Drosophila melanogaster: one gene and its partners. The protein of the gene in region 1 interacts with the protein of each later gene in a pairwise test. Each region holds a gene or a part of one and is shown in the gene's direction. Other genes may lie near its edges. The genes, in order: Mabi, CG30427, CdGAPr and MsR2.

Region 1 (4,374 bases):
GTGTCGCATTAACAATTTGTACTTTTTAAAATTGTTTGAAACAACGCTTGAAATTATAAATTTTTTATAGAAATTTAGAGATTACCTTTTAATTTTAAATGGCCGTATCAAATTAATATTAAAAACGACAAAGCCAATCTCCGCAATTTTTGCAGTATCCAAAGAAATTGTATTTTTAAAATAAGATTTTAGAATAAATGTATTAATATTCTATTTTGCTTTAACATTTATTTTGTTTAAATGCACTAAGTTTGCACTTCCCAAGAATTGTTTCTGTTGTTCTTATTTCTTAATTTTAATATAGGGTTTGATTTTTCACATATGTATAATGACACTCACGTATTTCTCGAACCGGCTTGAACTCAACTGGTGGCAATTCTATTTCCGCTGCCAAACATAAGCCGGCCATCAGAATTAGAGCAACTACGCCAAAGATACGACCCATTTCGATAGATTGTTTAATATTTAATTTGATACGTTTAGATTGAATGATGTTTTTTTTAATTGACTTCCTCGTTAGGTGAAGTTATTCCACATCCGTTGGATAGCCCAACCTGACCGATGCAAATGCGAATCAACGTCTGAGAGCTGCGATGGGTGGCGGGCTCTTATTTATGGGAAGAAAACAAAACAAATCCAATCAAATCGAAATTGCAAAGACAAACGTAAAATAAAAAAAATAAAAAAAGGCACAAACACAGATGCTCGGCATTAGCAAATAATAGGGATTTGTGGGCGGAGCGGTGGGCGGTGGGTGGTGGGTGGATAACAAAAATAGCTTGAAACTAATCGCCGTCGCAGCTGTAGAAAACAAAGCAAATGCAAAAGTCAATAGACAGTAGACAGTAGACAGTAGCGAAATACAAACGACATTATTAAATTCCCCCGTAAAGTCGTGAAGTGGAAGCCACCCAGCCATCCGATTTGACTTATCGCGACCCCAGTGCGACCCGACATACTCATCACATAACCGCCTACCAACTACCGGCAGCTGTCCCAAGTGATCCGACTCGCTTTGGATGCTTCCTCGACTTGGTGATGGAGATGGTGCTGGAGATCTTGGTCCCAGGCGGCTAATTAAAACGTACCACCTTATTAAATGTCTCGGGGACTTGGGCTTAAGATCACTGTTTCAATTTTTAGAGCTTGAAACTATTCTTCCTGTACTTCCATGCTAATGCTAATGCATTTAACTGAGGCTTTATTTAACTTACTGCAATTTTGTGGCCTAGTAAAATATACATCTGTGTATACCCTCAAAATGAAAAGGCAGAACCTTTTACTGCCTATTTCTGTTTCTACTAGTAAGTAGTAATGAAAGTATAAATCAAACAATTGGTGTCAAGCGTGGCCGTGCTAACAGCTCTAATGCTAATTCTGCTTTTTGCACCTTACGGCAATTTTTAAAGTGCTTGATTAGTGATTATTTAGTCACGTGTGTCTAGTAGGCAACGTACGTCGATTTTGTCAAAGCTTAAAAGGTTGGAAATGAGTCATACGCGTACAACAAATCTTTATACTAATTCGGAAAACCTCAGTTCTTAACAAACAAATAAGTAGGTTATTTTACGCAGGCCAATTTTCGAATACTTTTTTTTTTAGGATCGTTTTAAGATGCGCTGAGTTTACAACGATTTATCAAGTGACCTGGCACAAAAGAGATAAACGCACGTTATCAGCAGACGCAGACTGTCTACAGGAATGTGCCCTTTTGCAACCCCAAATAGACGTCATCTTATCGTCATCTTCGGCATTAAACTGCAAACCCAGAAATGGCACTCCGAGTTCCAAGAAGTGATATCTAAAAAAAGGGAAACAAACGGAAAACAAAAGATCAGTGCCACACACACCTTATCAACAGCAGGATACAAAGGGAGTTGGACAAATGAGGCCGCAAAACACTTTTCGAATAGAGGCCAATTGAACAAGAGTAGCCCAAAATCCATATATGTATATATATATATGACTTTTACAAAAGGCGGCGACATTGAAAAACACAGCAGATAATAGATTTGAAAGAGGAACAAACACGAATTGAATGAACCCAGACAATCGATGGGCGCGCATTTCGCCACCTACTGATCCGGAAAAACTCGGATTGTATTGTATCTGAAATTCAAAAGATCCCAGCTGAACGCACGCAAGAATAAACATGACCAGTAGATAGGGATGCCCAACGGGTGGGCTTACAAGTAGGTAAGTGGGATGGGTTGGGTTTTGGGTTTGGGTTTGGGTATGGGATTGGGTGGCATGTACGCGTGCGCAGGCAAATCGAGCGGGTTTATGATCTTGTTTTCGTTTTGCAAAAAGAAAATTCGTCGTCGATTTGTGTAAACAAAGTTATAAAAGTTGTGGGGGGATTACGAAGAGCGGCAGATAAGGCTTTCGCCATATAAGCTAGTGTACCAATCCACAGGACAGCATTCAATCGAGAGTCTTCGAGTAGAACACACATAGCATAACCATAGCATATCATACCATACAATGGAGCACCATCAGATCTATCGCCACAAAAAGTTCGACATGGGTCGAAAGATTGAGAAATGCGATTTGCAGCTGAAGGAAGAGCTAATCTCCCGGAGCGGCACACCCTGCACCAGTCGGAGTCCTTTCGATGCGGCAAATCAGTCCGTCAGCTTGGGTTTCAGTGATCAGGATGCTGACTTTCCTCCACTGCCAAAGCGTCGTCGTTTGGGATCCTCATCCTCAAGCGTTTCCTACCAATCCGCCAGCCCCATCATAACCGAGGCCATCCAAGACATCTTCAAGTACCACGTCAATATGGTGCGAAAATTCCCGAAGAAGGAGCGTTCACCGAAGGATCAGGAGCGCCGCAACAAGAACACAATTGCCTGCAGGATGAGTCGACGGAAGAAGAAGTTCGATGACCTGCAGATCGAACAGCAGTACAAGGAGTGCTCCGATGAGCACCTCAAGATCGCCGAACAGAGTCTGCGTGCCAGGGTCTATTTGAATCATCTGAAGCAGCTGGTCAAGCAGGAAGACCACCCGCTAGTATCCTCAAGGAGAGTTCCGGAGGAGAATACCAAGAGTAACTTTAGCATCGACTACCTGATAGGTGGTATTAAACAGGAGCATGCTTAGATACGTCCATCTCCTTTTAGGATTGTATTATATAGTTATTATATTAATGCTAAGTTGTTAAGTTTCTTCAAGAACTTTTAGTGCTAAGAAATTTAGTATATATTTAGTATAAATGCCTTAAAAGGTTAAGCAGGAACTTCTTAATAAATAAAATATGAGGATTTAATTTTTACGGCTAATTGATTTTTTATCGTGTGCTTGACTTTTAATCTTCCTTCTAAAAATGGTATAAATATTAATTTATGACATTGGCAGAAAAAGTAATCAAGCGCTAATGAAGCAATGAATATATTAAAAATATATATAAATAAATTTAATAAAATATAATAAAGCGTGGAGCCATCGAAATAAATCCCAATTAATCCCCAGGGGTAGTTCGCGTGGTGTCACAGGCAATCATCAGCCCCTGGAGCAAATCGTTATTGGTGACCCCATCGACTATTGCCTCCCCCCATGGAGAATATCAAGCCAGTCGGATAAAGTTCACTGGGTATTAACCCTGCACCCTGGTCAAACCACTGGCAATAGAGCCGTAAACCGATTGAAACCGCAGCTACGGGAATGTGGGCTTAAATAATAACTACTCCTATTCCCGTCCATCGCTCAGCTGTCATTGTCGCACTTAAAGTTAAACTAAACACTTTAGCTATTAGTAGCTACGATATTTTCAAATACATTGTAATCGAATTGGTCACGCTAAAGGCTTTCATTTGCATAACCCCTAATCCCTGTGGAAAATTTCAACGTATTAATAGGAATGGCAAGTGCTATAGTGTTTCCATTATTTTAATCCGATTAGGTTCCATAAGATGAATATATATGCTATACATGCTATTAAAACTAATTCAGAATTCAATTTCCTTGCTAACCGTTTCTTGTTTTTTTCTTTGACAAAAACGAAGCAGCCATACAACATAATAACTATAAACTTTAATAACATTATTAACGAAACAATAAATTTAGTATACTCTGTCAGGGTTTCTAATCACAGATTAGATCAATGTGCGTCACTGCCGCCGGTGGATGCAGTGGTTTCCATGTCAGATGTATCATTGGGTGGAACTCCACTGCTACTCGGTCCGTGGTCCGTCATGTCATCATCGCTCATTCCCTCCTCGGATAGAGGATCGTGGTCCGCCTCCAGAGGTGGATCCATAGCCTTGACCAATTTCACATACTTCTGGTTCTCGGCTTCCGTAAACATTTTAAACGGCACATCCTTGCCCACAATGGCCACATTTATGGTGAGATTCTCGACATCATCGGAAC
Region 2 (6,262 bases), on another chromosome or scaffold:
CAACATCCCATTTCTGCTCGCCCGCCCGGGTGAGGGGAACCACATAGAAGGCGAAGTCTACGAAGTGGACGAGACCATGCTCTCCAAACTGGACATACTAGAAGACTACCCGGACTACTATGATCGCGAGCAACAAACCATATTAATGGAACAGAATGAGTATGAGGGTGTGGGGTGATGGCCAGATGTAATAACTCACTATTGCCCCTATGTCTAGAACCATTCAGTGCTGGCTGTACCTGATTCGCAACTTCCCAGACAAGATGCTGGCCAAGGAGCTGCTGATCTCGTACCACAACACGCCGGAGAGGCCGTACAATGAAAAGTCAGTACGCACTGTTTCAGCCAGAGATGATCTTTCTTACTGATTTTGCAGCTACTTGGACAGCTGCCCGGAAGACCTCGCCATGGAAAAGTGAGAAACGGAAACGTATAAAAAAGTAACGTTTATAAACGGATTTCAACGCATGGGTATTATTCGTATTGTATTACATTAATCCATTTTTCAAAATGCAAAACGAAATGAACAATAGTAGTTTGTGGTTTAGGGTAAGAGTAGCAGTGGTGGTTTATATGAATCAAAAAGCCTAGAAAATCTGCATGTGCTGGCATAGAACCTTTGGATGGCTTGAGCTCGGCAGCGGACACTGTGGTAGATAGCGGTTCAAGTGGCCAGCAACAGCACCGTTGGCGTGGGCTGACCTAGCTTGCTTCGTCGTCAAGCGACTGGAATCGGTTGGAGGCCGCCACCGGGGCAGCCGTGGACTCCTGAACACGCTGGAAACGGCTTCCGTGACGGACTTCTTCGAAGGCGGGTTCGTTTTTCTTCTTGCGCTGTTCCTCCGGACGCGCCGCACTTAAGGTTGGGAAAAACTCGGTATTGGTGATGTCGGGGGCGGCGCGTCGTGGACGCAATGCCCCCCCAGTAGGGCCGCCTCCCAGTCCACTTCCGGCCTGCTGCTGCAGAGAAGTTGATTAAACTCGATCTGGATCGTCTCGCTCTTCTTACTTACGCTGTATCGTAGCGCGGGTGAAACGTAGGTCTTGGACGAGTGCTTTTCCACCTCCACGGGCACCGGAATCTGCATTACCTCCTCGGCTGGGACAACTTTCTTCCAGGGTCCGTGGCCGACGCGCTCCTTGTTTACGTCCGCGTTGTCATACCCATTGCTGTCCTCATCGTCCTCATTGTAGTTGCCGCCGTCCGGGGCAGAGGGCACTCGAGCAGCTTGCGACTCGGAACTTTCCTGGGCAGTTCTGGAACGGGCCGAAGAGCTATAGAAAGCGAGTTTTCGCAATATGCGGGGTCAAATGGAAAGTAAATCAATGGAAGTGGCCTTTTCTCCTGCTCATGGATTAGGCGGTCGGCGTAACGTTCGAAAACTCACATGGTGCTCAGCTGGCCGATCTTTAAGCCACTGTAGTCCTTGCGCTGCTCCTCCTCGAACTCCTTCCATTCCTCCTCGACGGGCTACGGAGCGGCAAAACAATGAACTTATAAACATGCCCTAGGTGGCCAACGGGCGCTGATTTCACCAGACTGAGATTCGGACTCACCGGGGCGGACTCTGGCACCTTGGTGCCGCTATTCTCGTTTTCGCCTACTACTGCCACGCCGCCAGCGGCTACCTCAGGTTTTTTGGGCTTGACCACCTCGCGCTTGGTGCCGTCCTCCAGGTTCTTCACCATCTCGTCGGCGGTCACGAACTTAGTCTTGTTCTTGGACTTCTTCTTGTCCTTTTTCGCGAAGAAATCGTCCAGTTCGGCCATGGCTTGTAATTAATTATAAATGAATAAAATTCGCGACAGGAAATTTGGAGAACAACTCTGCACGCCTTTTGTGCCAGATGTATCGATAAGCCGGCCAGGGCTGGAGATTCCTGGAAATTCGCAGCGAGATTACAAATTGTCGATTTAATTTCACTATGCAATTTACATAATGCACGCTTTTTTTCATACCTGGAATTAACTGATGGTTTATTATAACTAATCAGTTTAAGCAACTCTGACAGCACTACCTTAGCAGGACAAGTATCCATATATCATCTGCATGATATCGATATTTTCAACTTTGGCGGCCTTTTTGAAACCATCAGTTGGGACTGGAAGACACAAACATATTATTTTTTTGCAACAAAATTGGTAACATGCATAATTTAGCGTGTGCAAAAATCACAGGAAAGACTGCACTAATTACCAATATTCGCGACATTGGGCAACAATAGATTTGCATAGGAGATTGATAACCACCTAATTAAGGCAAACAAAGTGGAAACCACCGCCGCGGTGGCTGCGAATGCAAAGCTGGACCATTGTGTAATGGAAACCAATTCGATCCGTTGCTAATTTTGCATCCATAATGATGCCAATATATCTTATTCGCTGAAAAGCAGCAAAGTCAATAAAACTCGTCCAAATGGCAAAGTTAATGTTTCCCAAAATATGCCAAAGAGTTCCTGGGCCTGGGACTTGCATCTTGTGGTACCCAGCAGTCCCGCCCATGTAGTCAAAAGTCAACTACTTGGCCCATCACTTGGACCCAGCCTAAGCCTCTTAGGCCAGACGGCCAGTTCCGCCTAGATTAGCCGAGCTAATAGATATTTATGTCTGTACCAACACCTGCCGAATACCTACCACAGTACGGCGTGCAGCCAGGCCAGTGGTTTTGCTTCGTTTCGGCATGGTTTGCAACATCCCAAAGCACTGCTAGTCCACTCCACAACGTATTCATATTGACAACCACCGGGCTGGTCGCGTTCAGTCTTCTTTCGAGCTTCGCAGCGTCCACACCGCTCCCTCCACTACTCGATTCGATCCGAACTAGTACGCTCCGAACCGATATAGTCTCGCATTAATTCGCGTGTGCGAGAGTTTGATACCAATATTGCAAGTGTTTTAATTGAGGAGAATACCAAGCAATACTCAAGGTAATTGAAACACTTAGTAGCCCCAAAATAGTTTCGGCTTGCAATCTAGCACTCCGCCGACCTCATCTCGAGCTGCGATTCCTCCTTGTGATTACCGCATTGTAAAGACAATGCTGCTTATTTTTCGGGGCTATTAGGCTGCAATTCGAGGCATTTGCCAGCCCAGCGAAGCGTTTAATTGACGATTACAAAGGTAGGCCCCTCTGCCCTACTGAGTTTGATTTCGAGATACGCTCGTGAACCCCCGTCTATGTCAGGGTCGTGTCATGACCTGTCGCAAAGTCTGATATTTCGATATTCCACATTTTCCGCTTTGAGTTCCGTGGCCCTTTGCATATATTTGAACCTCGGCTTGCGGCTTGCTGCTAATTTTATGTGTCGGGGTTTCATCTCATTTGTATCAATGCTGATCCAATACAAAAGCCATTTACATATTGAGGGGGATTTTTATTTAAATATATCGTGAGACTACGTGAGCAAAGGCCAAATGGGAAATGGAATGGAAGAATTGCCAAACATTTAAAATTTGTTCGATTTCATGGTTTAATGTCTCAGCCTCAAGTGGCTTTCTTAATGATCCTCCACACAGCCACATCCGCAGCTCTTCTCCGTATTCGAGCTTACGTTGCCTTAGAAAAGGGGTCATTGGTACAGCGCAGTCAGTCAATCAGTCACTGCGCTCCAATGGGTTTATTAACTGCAGACCGATTGCAGGCTGCACTTTGCATTGGAAAATTTTAATGGCCCCATCATCGGTAGCCAGTTCTGAGGTCGCAATCGAGTTGTAACCACACAATATTACTTAGGCTAAAAAGCAGCAATATGTAAACAAGAGGAACACACAATCGATAAACACAACCACATACAAGCTAATTAAAGATTCCAAAATGTTTCTACTTACAAGCGATATACGATATACCGGTTTTGGCTCTAATAAAAATATGACAAACGAAGGAGAGAAACAAATATCATAAGATAAAAGACTCTTTATCGTTTATCGACGTTTCAAATAGGGTCAATTTGCGTTTGCGTAATATCAAAGAGCTTAAAAACACTCTTGCCAATTGTGGGGAGGGTAAGTTTAAAATGGTATAAAAACATTTCGGATTTGAATTTATCGATTTCGACGTAATTTTTGCAAGTCGTTCCGCTACATCAATATGCTTATGAACAAAATACATAGATGGTAAAATCTCAAACAAATTTCTTGAATTCCATTATCTTCGTGATGCTCCGTTGTTAAAACTATGCACACATTGTTCTTTCATTAGAAATCACAAATATGTTATGTTATTTTAGTTGTCTATCAGTATTTTGCATTAGTTACTGTTTTCTGACTCGTCTCTTTCTCGCTCGTCCGCCCCAATTGGGATCAAGTTTGTGGCCTAAGTCTTTCGTTTACAAAATGAAGCTCCGTTGTTTTAGGTTCAGTTTTAATAAATACGTTTGTCTGTAATGCTCATAACTTCGGGTTTGACAACTTGGGTCGACCGAAATTTGTCTCAATGTGTGTATTTCGAGGCTTGCATAAGTGCAAGCACTCTGAAGTTGTTTCTCGGGCTGTGGCTCTCGTTGGTTTCACACATTCGGCGGACGCGTTTTAATTGGCCATAAAGCCGAAAACTGGGGCTCAGTAACAAGCCCCTAAAGGCAGGTGCCGCGAGGCGAGATGAAGGAGAACCGCAGTGATCTAAGTGAAGTGATCCCAGAAACAGATCCAACCACATAGATTTCAGCTTGTAGTTCAAGGTGCAGTGGGGCTGCTGCGTCATGCTTCCTGCGATTTCCATCTTTTCCAGCTTTGCTCTGCTGGAGGAGGTAAACACTCGTTGCCGGAGATACAGTATTGGACATGCATACGCTTGGGCGGGGTGTGACCACAATCGAGCTGCAATAAATAGGTAAACAAGTACGTCCGCTCGGTCTTGCGTGAAATGTCATGACATGCCCAAAGTGCAAGGCACAGGCACAATCCACAATTCGAGATTGCCGAGCAGATGTGGCCAACTGTAACGCGGCTGCAATCCAACCCAGCCGCATGCAGATTGAGAAACAAATACTTGCAACAATCCCCGTCGGAGGGGGAGATATAAAGACAACCTGGCACGCTAGACGGGTTCGATGCCAGCTACCCCTGGTAATTGCATAAGCCAGCAAAGAAATGCGAATCCACAGGCGCAATCGAAAATCCAAATAGAAACCGAAAGTCCACTAGAAACCCGTTTGCGGCAGGTTCAGCTCACTGGTTGCTGCTGTGTGTTGGCTGCTTCCAAGTCGAACACCAGATGTGGTAAGAGGGGCACGCGTGGCCAGAATTAGCCCCAGTTTTTCCAGCACCACTTGCGCCATTCGCTTGCCAATCACTAGTTTTTCCTTTGACTGGTTTTCGCATTCCCGGAATGCTTCTTGCGTCACTCCATTTCCATTCCCATTCCCAGAAGGTGTGCTAATACACCTCTTTCTTGCAGAAAGATGACGGTGGATCTATCGCCAGTGCAGGAATACTATAAGGATAAGACGATATTCATCACTGGAGCGTCTGGGTTCATGGGCAAGGTTCTGCTGGAGAAGTTGCTCTACTCCTGCCACTCCCTCAAGGAGGTGATCATCATCTGCCGCCCGAAGCGCGGCAAGGCACCCGAGACGCGTCTCGAGGAGATGTTCAAGCTGCCCATCTTCCAGCGCATCAAGGACGAGCGCCCGGAGATGCTCAAGAGGGTTACCATCTACCAGGGCGACGTCACCTTCGACCGTAAGTGTAGCGCTTAAGTTCCGCACTTTAATCTCGATTGATTTGCATTTCCTGCCCTTCATTTGTAGAGCTCGGGCTCAGCGGGGAGAGCTTGAAGCACGTGACCGAGAACACTAACATTGTTTTCCACATGGCGGCCACCCTTAAGCTGGAGGGCAACCTTCGGGACGCCATCGATATGAACTTGCTAGGCACCCGGCGAGCGCTCAACGTGGCCAAGGAAATGAAGCAGCTGGAGGCCTTCATCCACTTGTCCACGGCTTTTTGCAACTGCGACCAGGATGTGATGTATGAGAAGGTGTACGAGTTTCCACACAAGCCGGAGGATCTTATGCGCCTGGCCGAGTGGATGGACGTGAAGACCCTGGACGCCATTACGCCGGATTTGCTAAAGCCGCACCCCAACACATACACCTACTCAAAGCGTCTGGCGGAGCTTCTGGTGCGCGACCACTACGAGTCCATGCCCGTCATCATCGCACGTCCCAGCATCGGTAAGTGACCTTTTAAGTACGGATGCCACCTCGCTGTTGCCTATCCGCGTCGCTTTGGCCTGCGGCGAATCGATTTATCAGAGTCGTTA
Region 3 (6,058 bases), 6.6 Mb from region 1:
TTGTTACTGTGAGATTTCGTTCAATTCTAACACAACTATGTTATGCCATATTCCATTTAAAAAATATGTTAGATCTAAACTTCTTAGTTTAAATAATGTATCATAGTTATGTAAAGTTCCCATAAAGTTCCCTCTTGCCAAAGTTTTTAATAAAAATAAGATGTATCCTGCTAAAAACGCACAATTAGTGTACTATTTGGAATCGTTTTAGGCAAATGTCTCTCATTACCTTATGTTCATAGAATTAATTAGCTATTAGATTAGAATAATTTACCCCCACACACGAACACACACACACCGCATTTTTTTGAAAAACAGCTCACCGAGCATTTTTCGTTTAGTTTCCGCCAGTTGTCAGTTGCCTTTTTGGTTCTTTTTCCATTCCGACAATAAACAAAAAAAAACGGATAACACTAGTGCTGAAGTCTAATTAAGTGCATAGTCTTAGTTTGTTTTGCTTTATATCTGTTGGGGCCTAGCGTTGCCCGAAATCGAATATAAACTAAATAAAGAAACTCTCAAAATACGTGACAAACTTTGTTGTGTTTCAATTTAAAAATGCTGCGTGATCAAAGAATCGAAATAAACTCACTAATTGTTTCGCCTATTCTGCAGTGTGATTCCTGTGGGCGAGATTGTCCTAGAAGATTGCTACAACGACCAGGACGAGGACTACGACTCGGAGGACTCGAACCAGGAGAACTACTTTACCAATGATTACCCGGACGACGACGAAGCGGGCGCCATGGGTTCGGATGATGAGTTGTGCCGGCAAATGAACAAGTTTATGCTCGGTAAGATCTGTGTTAACTGTTTGCATAGATTCCGCTTATGAATATGCATATGCTTCTTCTTCCAGATGATGACGAGGATGAGTTTGCCAGCACCAGCGATGATGATGACTATGCCACCTTTCGCGATCCCTACGTGCACACGATCGACACTGAGGAAGACTCGTTTGTGGACGACGTGGACTTTTACAATGTCGACCGGGAGAGGGGCAGCGCCTATGAGCGCTACAAGCGAAGGATTCTGAAGGAACTGGAGGGTCAGGAAGAAGAGGATGAGGATGATGATGATGATGACGACTCCTTTGCGAGCGCTGATGGCGAATGAGAGGTTGGAAAGCCAATTCATTCTTGCACCTTAAATTACTGGCTTTAAAAAAGAATGTAGTAGTATAATTTAGCGTTTAATAACTAAAAAATTTAAGTTAATATAAAAATTCTGTTTGCATGCTTTGCTATGTTTAAGCTAACCTTATCTTATCATCTATAATTTTTGCTGTCTTTCTTCTCAGTCTTGATGTGCTGAAGTTGAGGTTTCGGCGCACAGCCCTCCATGTAAAGGCGAAGGGTTTCCTCGTCCATCTTCTCGTTTTCCTTGGGAGGCTTGTAGTCGGCCACGTGATCGACCCTTAGTGTCCTATCGAGGATCTTGATGCCATTCAGGTTGTCCACGGCCAGCACTGTGGATCTCTGGTCCTCGTAGCACAGGAAGCAGAAGCCCTGGACAAGTTTAAACAATGATTTCAGGAACTTTCTTGAAAGGGTAACTAAGCATTACCTTGGACTTTCCCGTTTTTGAATCTCGAATTAGATTGATGTTGACCACTTCGCCGTACTGCGAGAATACGCAAACCAAGTCGCCCTCAGTTAGGGTATACGGAAATCCTGCGACGAAAATCCAGGCTGAGTCCTTGTACATGTCGTGCCAGCTCTTCTTTCCGCCATGTTGCAGTTCGTGTTCGCTCAGTTTGAGCACATTTTTCATATTTGTTAGCGGATTCATCTTCAAATCGTTTTATTTGTTTATGTTTTTGTGGCGATGTGACTGCTTGCTGTTAGGTAGAAAATACCATCGGTCTGTTTTGAACTGTATTAACATAGCAAGCAAGCAGTGTAGGTAGTATTTCAGGCAATATATCGATAATTGGATACTTTCTTTAACTCATAGAGTTTCCTAAAACTAAAAGGCTAATATAATTAATATGTAGCATACTTATTTAATTTCCAACTAATTTAAATACCAAAGTAGTTTTTAATTGCTAGGTATTTGTATTTGGTATTTCTTGTATGTGCAGTGGTATTAAATAGTGCGTTATAATAAGGCCGGTGGTATTTTAATCGTTATCGTCACATTTGTTGTCGCGTTGTAAAAGGCTGCGGATCGGAAGCCAGTTAATTGTGCACTGGGACGGACAGTGAGAAATGTTGTAATATTGCCATTGCCACGGTGATCTATTCGAGAAAAGGTGTGTACGAATGCGAAAATTGGGCTTACACACCCGCCGTCTGCTAGCGTACGTGTGTGTGTGTGCGGTATGCCCTTGCGTGTGCGTGTGTCTGCATGCTCGTGTGCGTGCCAAAGGAAAAAGATATGCTGAAAAGTATCTCCTCTCTATTTAAAAATGTGTGTCAGTGTATTGTGCGGCAGCAACGAAAATAATAAATAATAGCTGCCGCGACTGCGACTGCTGATTGGTGAGGGAGAGGAAGAGATGAAAACATAAACGAATAACCGTTTGGCGTCTTTGAGGTCTTTTAATTGTGCCAAAGCCATTGTTTTACCATTTTCCCATCATCGTTCGAGACGCGTTCTGTGCCGAATAACAGCGAATAACGCCCCGTCTTTTCTGTTATTTTTTTTCGCTCTCCCATATTATTTTTTGCGAAGGAAGCTGAGTGTGTGTTTCCCTCTCTGTCTCGCGCACGTAACTATGCCTGCGCCTTGCTATTGGAACAGTTGGTATGTAAAAGACATAAGTGCGATATGTCCGTTTCACACTAGACTTTGTCACCCTGTGGCAGCCACACTCACACACACACTCTCACCTGGGACAACTCCACCATATGTCCATTCGTCTGTGTGTCTGTCTGTCTGTCTGTCTGCTGCTGCTTTTCCTTAACACATTCACACTCACATGCACATTCCACCCCATTGGCAATGCCTCTCTTTCGTACAGCTGCAGTCAAAATAATAGTAATGGGCCTCCGGTATCTGCCGTCTTTATGGAGTCCTTGGTAAGCGAGGAAGAGGAAGAGCGGACAAAAGCATTCCTCCAAAGCTGCCGTCTTTTGTCCTGCAACTTCAACCCCAAAAACCCAGATAAGGAAACGTGCATTTTGAAACCCTATAACTATAAATAGAGTTCCTCACTTGACCGTGACTAGAACTTGGTTTATGTTGTTCACTTTGAAACTTTTGTATTTCTTATATGCTCCTATTCTGGAATTTAATAGTAATAGCTATAGAGCAACTCATGCCAGCTGCTGTCATTTGACTCATCGCAATCAACCCTTTGGGATAACTACATTCCTTAACCTTTTGTTTTCAATCCTCGGGTATTACGCACAGCAAGACTTAAATTGTGAGAAACACTAAACGCTAATTAAGTCACATAAAGTGTAGTTTACAAGCCATTGACCTAAAACCTAAGATTACACATGATCTTAAAAAAATCTCAACACGACTTTAAAGAGTTGACCCCCGCTGTATGGTCGCTTGTGTCTCTTTGTTTTTGTCCACGCCGAAAGGAGGAAACATGTACTTCCATCGCTGGTTTTTAATGTTTAGGTGTGGTCGTGCTTTACTTGCGGGCTTACACACATCCAGTTGTGTGTGTTTCTTCAAGCGGAAGCGCTCGTAAAAAAGTTTTCGTGGCGCTGCCCACACAGTTGACATTGAACTCGCTCCGTCCGGCTGCTCCTGCTTCTCCAGCTCCTCGTGCCCCAAAACCAACCTACCCCACCCACTCTGCCAAGCAACTGATACTTTTGGTCCGCTCTGTTACTTTCCCAAAAAGCCAACTCCTGGCCTTTCACTTGCTTTCCTTCATACCCTTCTGCGAGTAAAGCCAAGAGTTTTGTGAAAGGAGCGAAGTGTGCGATTAACGAAAAGGTGTTAAGGAGGCGGAAAAATCAATTAACAAATACTATTTGGCGTAGACTGATTGTTAATTGATAGGTGGTACTTCATTTCACTTTTCTACTCTACTGAGCTGCAGTGTGTAAACTTTAGTTGCGTTCGTAGAGACCCTGAATTATAGTTGATTTATGTTCTTCATAGTTCTATAATGAATATAATTAAAGCTGTCTAAATATTATCTGAACTATCTTCATATGTACCTTCCTAGTTCTCGTTCATTCCCAATGGGTATTTATGCGAAGTGATGTGTGATGTGGAAAATGGCTTAAAAAGAGAACCCATTGCCTATCCCTCCGCATCAGCAAACTTCTCCCCACTGTTCTATGAGAACATTTTGGGCGCATGTTGACTCATTTTGGCCGTTAAATGCGGGGGCTGGGTGCGGGCAGCTTTCTCGCTATTATTACGAGATACGTACAGATATGTGCTACTATACTTTATGTACATATGTACACTCGTGTGGGGCTCCTACTGCGGTTATTATGTGGCTCACGTCTCTGGGAAAGATTCGCGCCGCGACTGCGCACGATTATGGCACATTTCGAGTGACGAGAGCAAAGTTGACTGCGCTGCGGCCGCCTGTTGCAGAAACGTGTCAAGTTGGCCAGATACATCTACTCTACGTCTATATACACGAACATACATACATATATATGTATTATATACAGGGGTACTATATGTGCAGCAGCATAACCAAGCGAGCAAGCTGCTTCCCCGCCAGCTCCCGATTTCGAGTTCGATTAATTTCGTTGCGCCTCGGTAGCTGTGCACTCAACTCAAACATCCGCTCAAACGGACGGCTAGCTCACACCGCTTCCAATGGGGAACGTTTACCTCGCCGGCGACCAGCTCATTACACCACTGCCCACAGATGCGGCAGATTCCCATACCCAATCCCGCCAGCAAAACCCTTTCCCATCCGGGAAGGGAGTACCCTTCAACCGGGTGACACCAAACATCTGGGCGTACTGGGGGGCTACACTGGGCTGCAACGCCTTGGTTCCTGGACTACTTACTTTTGCACTAGTACCACAGAAGGAATTTCGCATTCCCCTCTTCAGGCAGCGTAGGGATAAGAATTACACTGGCTTGCACAGTATTGCTACCGAGAACTAACTAACATTTGGAGTTCGGTCCAGTTCATGCAAGACTTTTCATACCTATGGATTACTAATAGTACTAAATTGCAGCCGTTATCACTGATTACTGATTACCAACCACTGTTTTGCTGGCCAATGTAAACAGTCTACAATAGCAGGCACAAAAAAAACATTGCAGCGAAACTGCCAACAGAAAATTCGCTGTTCTACACATTTCGCCCTGTGTCTTATTGCTGTTTACACCTGTTCGAGCCGACGCCGTCGCGTTTTATATTCGCATTTTGTTTTTGTTTACATTCATGTAAAGAATTCTTCATAAACGCTCCATATTTGGCGACTGACATGCCCCCAGCCTCGCCAACTATCTCGTGGTTATTGAAGTGCAAGCAGGGGGAAATGCCGAACCCACACGGCGTATAAGAATTTTTGGGTTGGCGGCTCTTGCGGCTGTTGTTGTGATGGCCGCTGATGTTGTGTTTCATATGCGTATCAAATAATTGAGCTCAATTGATTTCAATTAAAACTGACAAGTCGCTGGGGGCTTTGTTGTTGTTGCTGCTGCTGTTATGGTTGTTAGTGCCAAGTCATATGAAACAAAAACCATCAAAATGCCTCAAAAGTAGTGCCCTCTGTTTGCCCGATGAGCTGCGTCGAATGTGAAATGCGCTAAGAATTCGTTCTATTCAATACGTTTGAAAGAAGAGTTACATTATAGGAAATCATAGCCCAAGAGTGTCGAAGGCAAATAAATATAGATGCTCTATCTTTTATTGACATTTACTGTGCATATATTGAGTTCGATGATTTCATAGTTTAAATATAGATTACGAAATGTGTTCAATAACCGATTCCTCAGTTTAATTTGCATGATCTCCGATCACTGGAAACATGAATGCTGTAAATGATTTACCTTAGTTTTTGATAAGTTTTTAAGTTTTTTAAGCATTTAATCCAAGCCTCAGATAAGAAGAAAGTCCCCTTTCGTTCTGACTCATCATCAGTGAGACAGAATAATTTTTATCAACCTATAA
Region 4 (6,313 bases), on another chromosome or scaffold:
TCCCTCACACTGTCTGTCGTTCATGCATTTCCATATGGACCAAGAGGATTATCGCTACGGGTTCCAAAAAACTGCCCGCAACGAAATCCTGTTCTGCGGTTGGGCTGCCATAGCAGCGGAAGCTTTTCGGGCTATGTCCCTGTCAAGTCAGCACATCCTGTTCACCCATTTTCCACGAATTTCCCCGAGCCTCGCTCCACTAACACGTCAACGCATCTCCATCTCCATCTCTGTCTCCGCATCCATCTCCATCACCATCTTCATGTGAATCTGGATGGAGAGACAGCGGACTGGACGGGCGGCGTTTGAGTGCTATAGGATTCTATTGGATATAGTTGGGCCACTCAACGCTGCTCCCGAGGCGAGCGTTAATGCAAAGTAGCTAACTGGTTTAGAGACACGCCCCCGGTGTGTATGGCGGGGGGCGGGGAGTGGGAAGTGGGTAATGGGAAATGGCCAAAGCGTGGGCAAAAAATGGGTGCCAAACGACTTCCGACCAGGCTTATTTTCAAGGGGTCACGTGCTGGCAGGAAAATCAACAACAATGGCAGAATCATGCTCAGGCGGAAAAACGGGAATTTTCTTATGGGTTTTTCAAGCATACTTATATAGTTTGTTATTAATTTAAGCCTGTTTAAATAATTGAATTGTAGATGTTTCGCTATGAAAAGTTATGTTTTATAACTCATAGCACTAATAAATATAAAATATAATTTGAATTATGTGACATTTTTCATTTACTCATTTAAATAAATATTTTTCAATATTAACATTTTGGTATCATATTTAAGATTATTTAACTATTTATTATTTCCTGTACACATTTATCATTTTCGGCCGAAGGATAATCGAAGTTCTTTTGTGGTTTGACGGCAAATCGATGCAATTGAAAAATAATTGAACATTGAACATCGAACGCTTATTGAATGTCATTTGGAAATTCATGGATGTGCGGGCATGTGGGCACCAGGAGAAGGTTAAGGATGGAGGAGCAGGATCTGGGCGGGAACTCGCATATCTAATGGATCCCCGCCCCGTGCAGGCATTCCACATTGTCATCGTTTCGCATTCCTCCGGCCATGCAAGATGGGAAAAAGGAAAATTATTGATTTGGTTTTAACGGCACTTAGGCCCTAATAATTGAGATCCTCGCCTTTGGCCCACTTTTTTGGCCCGGGAAAAGAGACGTGTGAGTCCTGGGCTGGAAACGTCGGAGTCGTGAGCGAAATGTGACATAAATTGAAGAATGATTTGGAAAAGGGAAATCTGTGTTTTCTTTTTTTTTTGGGAAAGTTAATGCTGCCTTCGGGGGCTTGTCAATCAGAAATCTTTTCAAACTGAAACCCAACGTGGCAGGAATATATAAACGAAAGCGCGATTTAAATTTTAAACTTAAACTCTCTCTCAATATACATCCTAATATCTTCTTTAAAGAAGTGAACTTAGTTGTAGCTAAAAGCGAAAAAAATAAGTTTTAAATCAGAATCTGTGATTACTTCTCACATGGCTTGTTTTTACAATCAATTCTGTTTGGATAAAACCCACAGAAATTCTAGAAGAACCATGTCATAAACTGCTGACGTTAATCAACATATGCTTTAAAATAAAATACAGTGAGTAAGATGGAGGAAGTAAATTGAAATGCAAACATAAATTTCGCCAAATAGATCCGCACATAAATCTAACATGAAGCAGTTGGGAAATGCGCCAGATAGAATAAAAAGTAAATAAATACCAGCCGAAATAAGATAAACGAACGTTTTACGAGCACTCGAAGGGGATTTTAAACACATTCGCAGCAGGTTCTATTAAAAAGCCGTTGTAGTTGGGAAAACTGGGAAAATTCGAGGGGTTGGGAAGGTGGTCGTCGCAGTTTATCATTTCATTTGATGATTTATTACCCATACGCCGAGGGGTCCGAAAAAAGGGTTAACTGCCATATGGACTGGCTGAAGCTCCATAAATTTGACCAGCAAAAAGGTTTTGGCTAAATTTATTTTTGGCGCGCTGAAAGTCGATAGAAAACCGTTTCATTCATAAAAACAAATCGAATGGGATCCACTGCAAAAGCAGCAAAAGCAAACGGAAAAGCCAAACTTCTGCAAAGGAAAGAAGAAAACATTTTACACTCTCTCTCTCTCTCTCTGTTTTCAAGGAAACTCGTTTTTCCGGTTCTCTGTTTTGCACAGACTCTGCAACTTCAACAAGTCGTCCAGCTGTTGCCGTCTGTGGATGGCAAGTGGAAGCTGTTTTCCGCCCAGCTACACCAGTTGCTTCTGGTGGAACTCGTTTTCCCCTGGCTTTCGCTGGCTTTTCCGAACAGCTGATTCAACGCTGTCGCTGCCGGCGTCGACGCCAGAAAGCTGGCAACACTTTCGACAGGCGCGCAGGAAAAGCCGACCGTCGATTTCCTGAGAGCTCGGAGAAAATAGCGAGCAGCTGCCGCTCGAGTTTTTCGCAGTTTTTCAGTTGGTTTTTCATTGCGGTGCCGTACGCACGTGTCTCGGAGTTTTCCCGGCTGAAAATATAATTCGAAAACGTCGAAAATGTGCCGATAAGATGAAAAATCGCAATAATTGTTATTTTCGGTTTAGCGCGTTGAATTGAATTTTTCGTAATATAAGTTTTGCGATTTGTGTAAGTTGCCGTCACGAATTTTCATCGGCTGGTCAGTGAACTTTTGGTCAGTTTATTGGCATTTGGTATCATTTCGCCCAACTTATATTTCATTTATGGCCGAAAAAAGGTTTATCTGATTAGCATAATGGCCACAACATCCATGGGGACACTGTGCCTAATGTCCTGAAAATTGTATTCCCAGAAAATTGTGGTGTGTACCAGTGATTGATGTAGGTAGCCCAGTTATAAGTTACGAAGAACAAAGAAAATTCTGGCCAAATGATTAAGAAAGGATGCTTAATAGAAATCTAAATTCGTTTTAAATGAGTAAAGTGAACCTGCAGCTAAACAGATATTTGTATCGTTTAGTAAACTCTTTTGAAGCCCTAATTAAAGGAATTTTTGCTTGAAAAAGAACCCAAAGGTATTCAGAATATGGTAAATATAATTATGAACTTGGTGCTATGAATTATAGAAACTTTTGTTTTTAATTTAATTCTGTTCTGTAAGCAACAACTTTTTGATTTCAAATTTCATGTCGGATTCTATATATTTTCCGCACAATAAAAACTATTTCCGAAATTATTCGTACCCCTTCCCATCGTAGAAAACTTAAGAAATTAATTGAAGGCATGTGGACTTTGCAACATGCAACCAAAATGACACATTTTTCTTACAACTTTCTTTCCACCTATCTGCACTTTCGGGGAACTTTACTGCTCTATTTCGGCAAGAAATATATTAAAGGCTTTTTATGATCAATGCGTCCGCAAAAGTGCAATCCAAGGGCCAGACTCAACTGGCAACTGGGGAGTACTTTGGAAAAACCGATGGAAAACCTGCAAAGGCTCATGCCGAACGAACATTAAATAAATGTGATGCTCGCATCTTGTCAATGAACAAATAAACAAATAAAACGGAAATGGGAATGGGACAACAAACATTGTTTGTACAAATGCGGGAAAGTCGTAAAAAGTGTTGTGAGCATGAAATTTGAATTTCGAAGAAAAATATGGGTAAAGTCAAGTAACCGTGGAGGGAAACAAACCTAAAGTAAACCTCAAACAAATGTATACAAAAATTGTTGGCATTTCGTGCTAGATTCCTTTTGGGCTTCTTTCAACTTTGCGCAATGCCTGCTGCTTTTTTATGGCCACAATAAATAAAAGTCAACTAGAGTAGAAGGGGGGCACTGGCAAACAATGGACAAAAGGTTGGCTTGCGAAAATATTTGCACAGTCGCAAAGTAGCAAGCAAAAAATCACCAAACAGTCCAGATAGCGCAAAGTTTTCTAATTTCCCGCAAGGAAATGGCTGCGCAAACCTTTCGAAAACATCCAGTCATCTCAATAGGACACACAATGCATAAAACTTTCAATTTATGGACATGCAGAGGGTTAACAGCTCGAAGCAATTAGTCGCATGTGCGACAGCGGAATTCTCGCAGCTGTCGAGAGGCCATAATGCCAACTAATTTATGCACTTGCCCGCTGGCTTTAATTGCCAGTCGAATTGTTGACACATTTAGCCGAAGCAGAAGGCCGTAAATTGCGGCACCAAATAGTTGGCATACCCATCATGGAACGCCAGTGTCAAGAGTCGCTGCCATGCACTTCAATCCTGATCTCGATCCCAATCCCAAACTCTTTCCAAATCCAAATCCCATCGAGTCCATTGTGCGAAGACCTGAACTTTTCGGTCTCGGTTAAGTTGGGCAGCTAATTAATTTGGATGCCAGCTGCCACTGCCAGAGTTCGGGATTCGGTGTCTCAGCCCAGATGAGACAGTAATTGTCCATTGTGGTTCGGTTTTGGCCAGGCCAGGACGATGGCTCAAGACGGAGCACGTGCCACTGGATCAAACCCAAGCCGAGTCAATTGCCTGCGGCTTTCGGTTAAGGCAAACTTTGGTTGCGTAGTCGGCGGGTTCTTGGTTTTGAGTATCATTTAAATTAATTGCCGGAGTTTAGCTCACAAAAGAATGCAGAAACATTTAGTTTGTCGGGCCTTCAATTAATAAGTTCTGGATTACATCGTATCTTAATGTTCTTGGACTCGTTTGTCTGACTCCAGCATTCGCATGTTGCTTAAGAAACATTATACTACACTATAAGTAAGTGGAAATTATTAAAAATTAAGGTAACAAGTTGCCTTAATTGTCCTACAGCACGTAAGTGTCATTTAGCTTTACTGCATTACGCATACGCCACATGGTCCACGGACTTTTAAGTCCCAGGCGCCAGAGCGTAAAATCATAATTCCCATTATCGTTGGATAATAATTTCCATTGTTTAAGCCAAATAAGCGACGTCAAGGTCGGAAAGTTGAGCCGCATGTGTGTCTGCCACAAATTGTTAGCTCTTTTTATGAAGGAAGTGGGGACACTTTACAGCCTGTTTAAAAGTTTAAGCCCTGCAAAAGTTTCGGTCCGCCCATTAGGTTCGTTTGTGAGCAAAAATAACTGAATTCAAATGAGAGCGGATCCAAAGATTTATGCTCATTTCTTTGGGGAGTCGCATTTCTGCCGAAGTCCGATAAAAATAAGACGACCGAATGCGGGCCATTCATCAGCTATCTAGGCACGTGATGCCAAAGAAAATAGGAAAATGTTGGAAGACCCTCGAATGGATCAATAATTCACATGGCAAGCGCCGAGCCTAGAGAATCGGGGCTGGACGGGGTATATACTTCTACATATATGTATGTATGTATATGTATATGTATCTACATATATGCAAGGTCAAAACCAGAGGCCCCCATCATAATCGCAATCGCAAAAGTTTTCGCATATGCCATGCATGAGCGGTCCATAATCATATCTCGTATTTATATCACTTCCTTCCCCTGCGCTTTTGCCTTTTATCTCAGTCGGAAAATAGCATTGCATAAATCTGGGCAAATATTACGCATACGCAGCATGGTCGGGCGGAAGCCATATCAGGCGCCATATCATCTTGCCATCTGTCAGCGCAGCGCGCTGCAAATCTCAGCCATAAATGATGACTGCATTTAAATGTTATTTATGCCGATGCGTTCTACCAAAAAGTCGGTGTGAATTATTCGGTCCTCGGGGAGCTTGTTTAATTAAATTAAATGCATCTGACAAGGAAAGGATGTTGCATCGCATGAGCACCAGACAAGAGAAAACTACGAGCGTCAGTAGATAAAGTACAGGGAAGAACCATTAGTGGATAAGTCCTTACTGTCGACTTTCATTCAGGTGCTCAACAGCTTACCAAAATACAGATTTACAGATTTTACTGTGATTTACAGTTTTTGTACAATGGCAATGACTGGCATTGAATTTAAGGCACTTTAAAGTGTAAAGTACGACATATACAGATTGCATTTATAAAGAGTAATTCAAAGTTTGCTGTACTGTAATATCCTTTTATCACTGTGCAACTTATCAGCCAGTTGCAAGGATGTGTGGCTGTGAAATTGGCAAATAAACTTTAGCATCTGAATGCAAGCAAATGAATGGAAGCATAGAAGCTTAAAGCCGCCGACAAGATAGATCGAATGCAATTATTCTGATGGCGCCTGGCACAGAAACAACTATTTTTGGTCGGCTCTTTAAGCTCAAGCGCTTTGTTTTGGGGGCAAGGGACTTGGACTTGGTCTTGGACTTGGACGTGGATGTGGATTGGTACTTGGACCGACACGCTCGTGAAAATAAACAAAGTCAATGGCAG

What was found.
Region 2: the proteins of Mabi (region 1) and CG30427 interact in a two-hybrid assay, tested with the Drosophila melanogaster proteins (one large-scale study listed by BioGRID).
Region 3: the proteins of Mabi (region 1) and CdGAPr interact in a two-hybrid assay, tested with the Drosophila melanogaster proteins (one large-scale study listed by BioGRID).
Region 4: the proteins of Mabi (region 1) and MsR2 interact in a two-hybrid assay, tested with the Drosophila melanogaster proteins (one large-scale study listed by BioGRID).

What each region holds. Positions count from the first base shown.
Region 1 is NT_033779.5:13,232,706-13,237,079, reverse strand, and holds Mabi (mabiki), read left to right. Parts: upstream 1-2,419; 5' UTR 2,420-2,484; coding exon 2,485-3,105; 3' UTR 3,106-3,282; downstream 3,283-4,374. Other genes in the region: Jhbp14 (juvenile hormone binding protein 14), read right to left, coding at 340-445; Prosalpha6T (proteasome alpha6 subunit, Testis-specific), read right to left, coding at 4,103-4,374. UniProt on the Drosophila melanogaster protein: Plays a role in inducing apoptosis and is involved in the repair of head patterning defects in the embryo caused by extra maternal copies of the homeotic gene bicoid.
Region 2 is NT_033778.4:24,933,969-24,940,230, reverse strand, and holds the start of CG30427 (uncharacterized protein), read left to right. Parts: upstream 1-2,753; 5' UTR 2,754-2,927; intron 2,928-3,895; exon of another isoform or gene 3,896-4,002; intron 4,003-5,395; 5' UTR 5,396-5,399; coding exon 5,400-5,679; intron 5,680-5,747; coding exon 5,748-6,173; intron 6,174-6,262. Other genes in the region: CG2811 (uncharacterized protein), read left to right, coding at 1-159, 218-325, 377-419; CG3760 (uncharacterized protein), read right to left, coding at 703-960, 1,014-1,275, 1,389-1,471, 1,558-1,770.
Region 3 is NT_033779.5:19,787,960-19,794,017, reverse strand, and holds the start of CdGAPr (Cd GTPase activating protein-related), read left to right. Parts: upstream 1-2,135; 5' UTR 2,136-2,254; intron 2,255-2,676; 5' UTR 2,677-2,748; intron 2,749-6,058. Other genes in the region: fs(2)ltoPP43 (female sterile (2) ltoPP43), read left to right, coding at 616-794, 860-1,116; CG10466 (uncharacterized protein), read right to left, coding at 1,269-1,508, 1,567-1,791. UniProt on the Drosophila melanogaster protein: Probably functions as a GTPase-activating protein (GAP) for RAC1 and/or CDC42. Required for optic stalk formation.
Region 4 is NT_037436.4:2,280,400-2,286,712, forward strand, and holds the start of MsR2 (myosuppressin receptor 2), read left to right. Parts: upstream 1-2,483; 5' UTR 2,484-2,849; intron 2,850-6,313.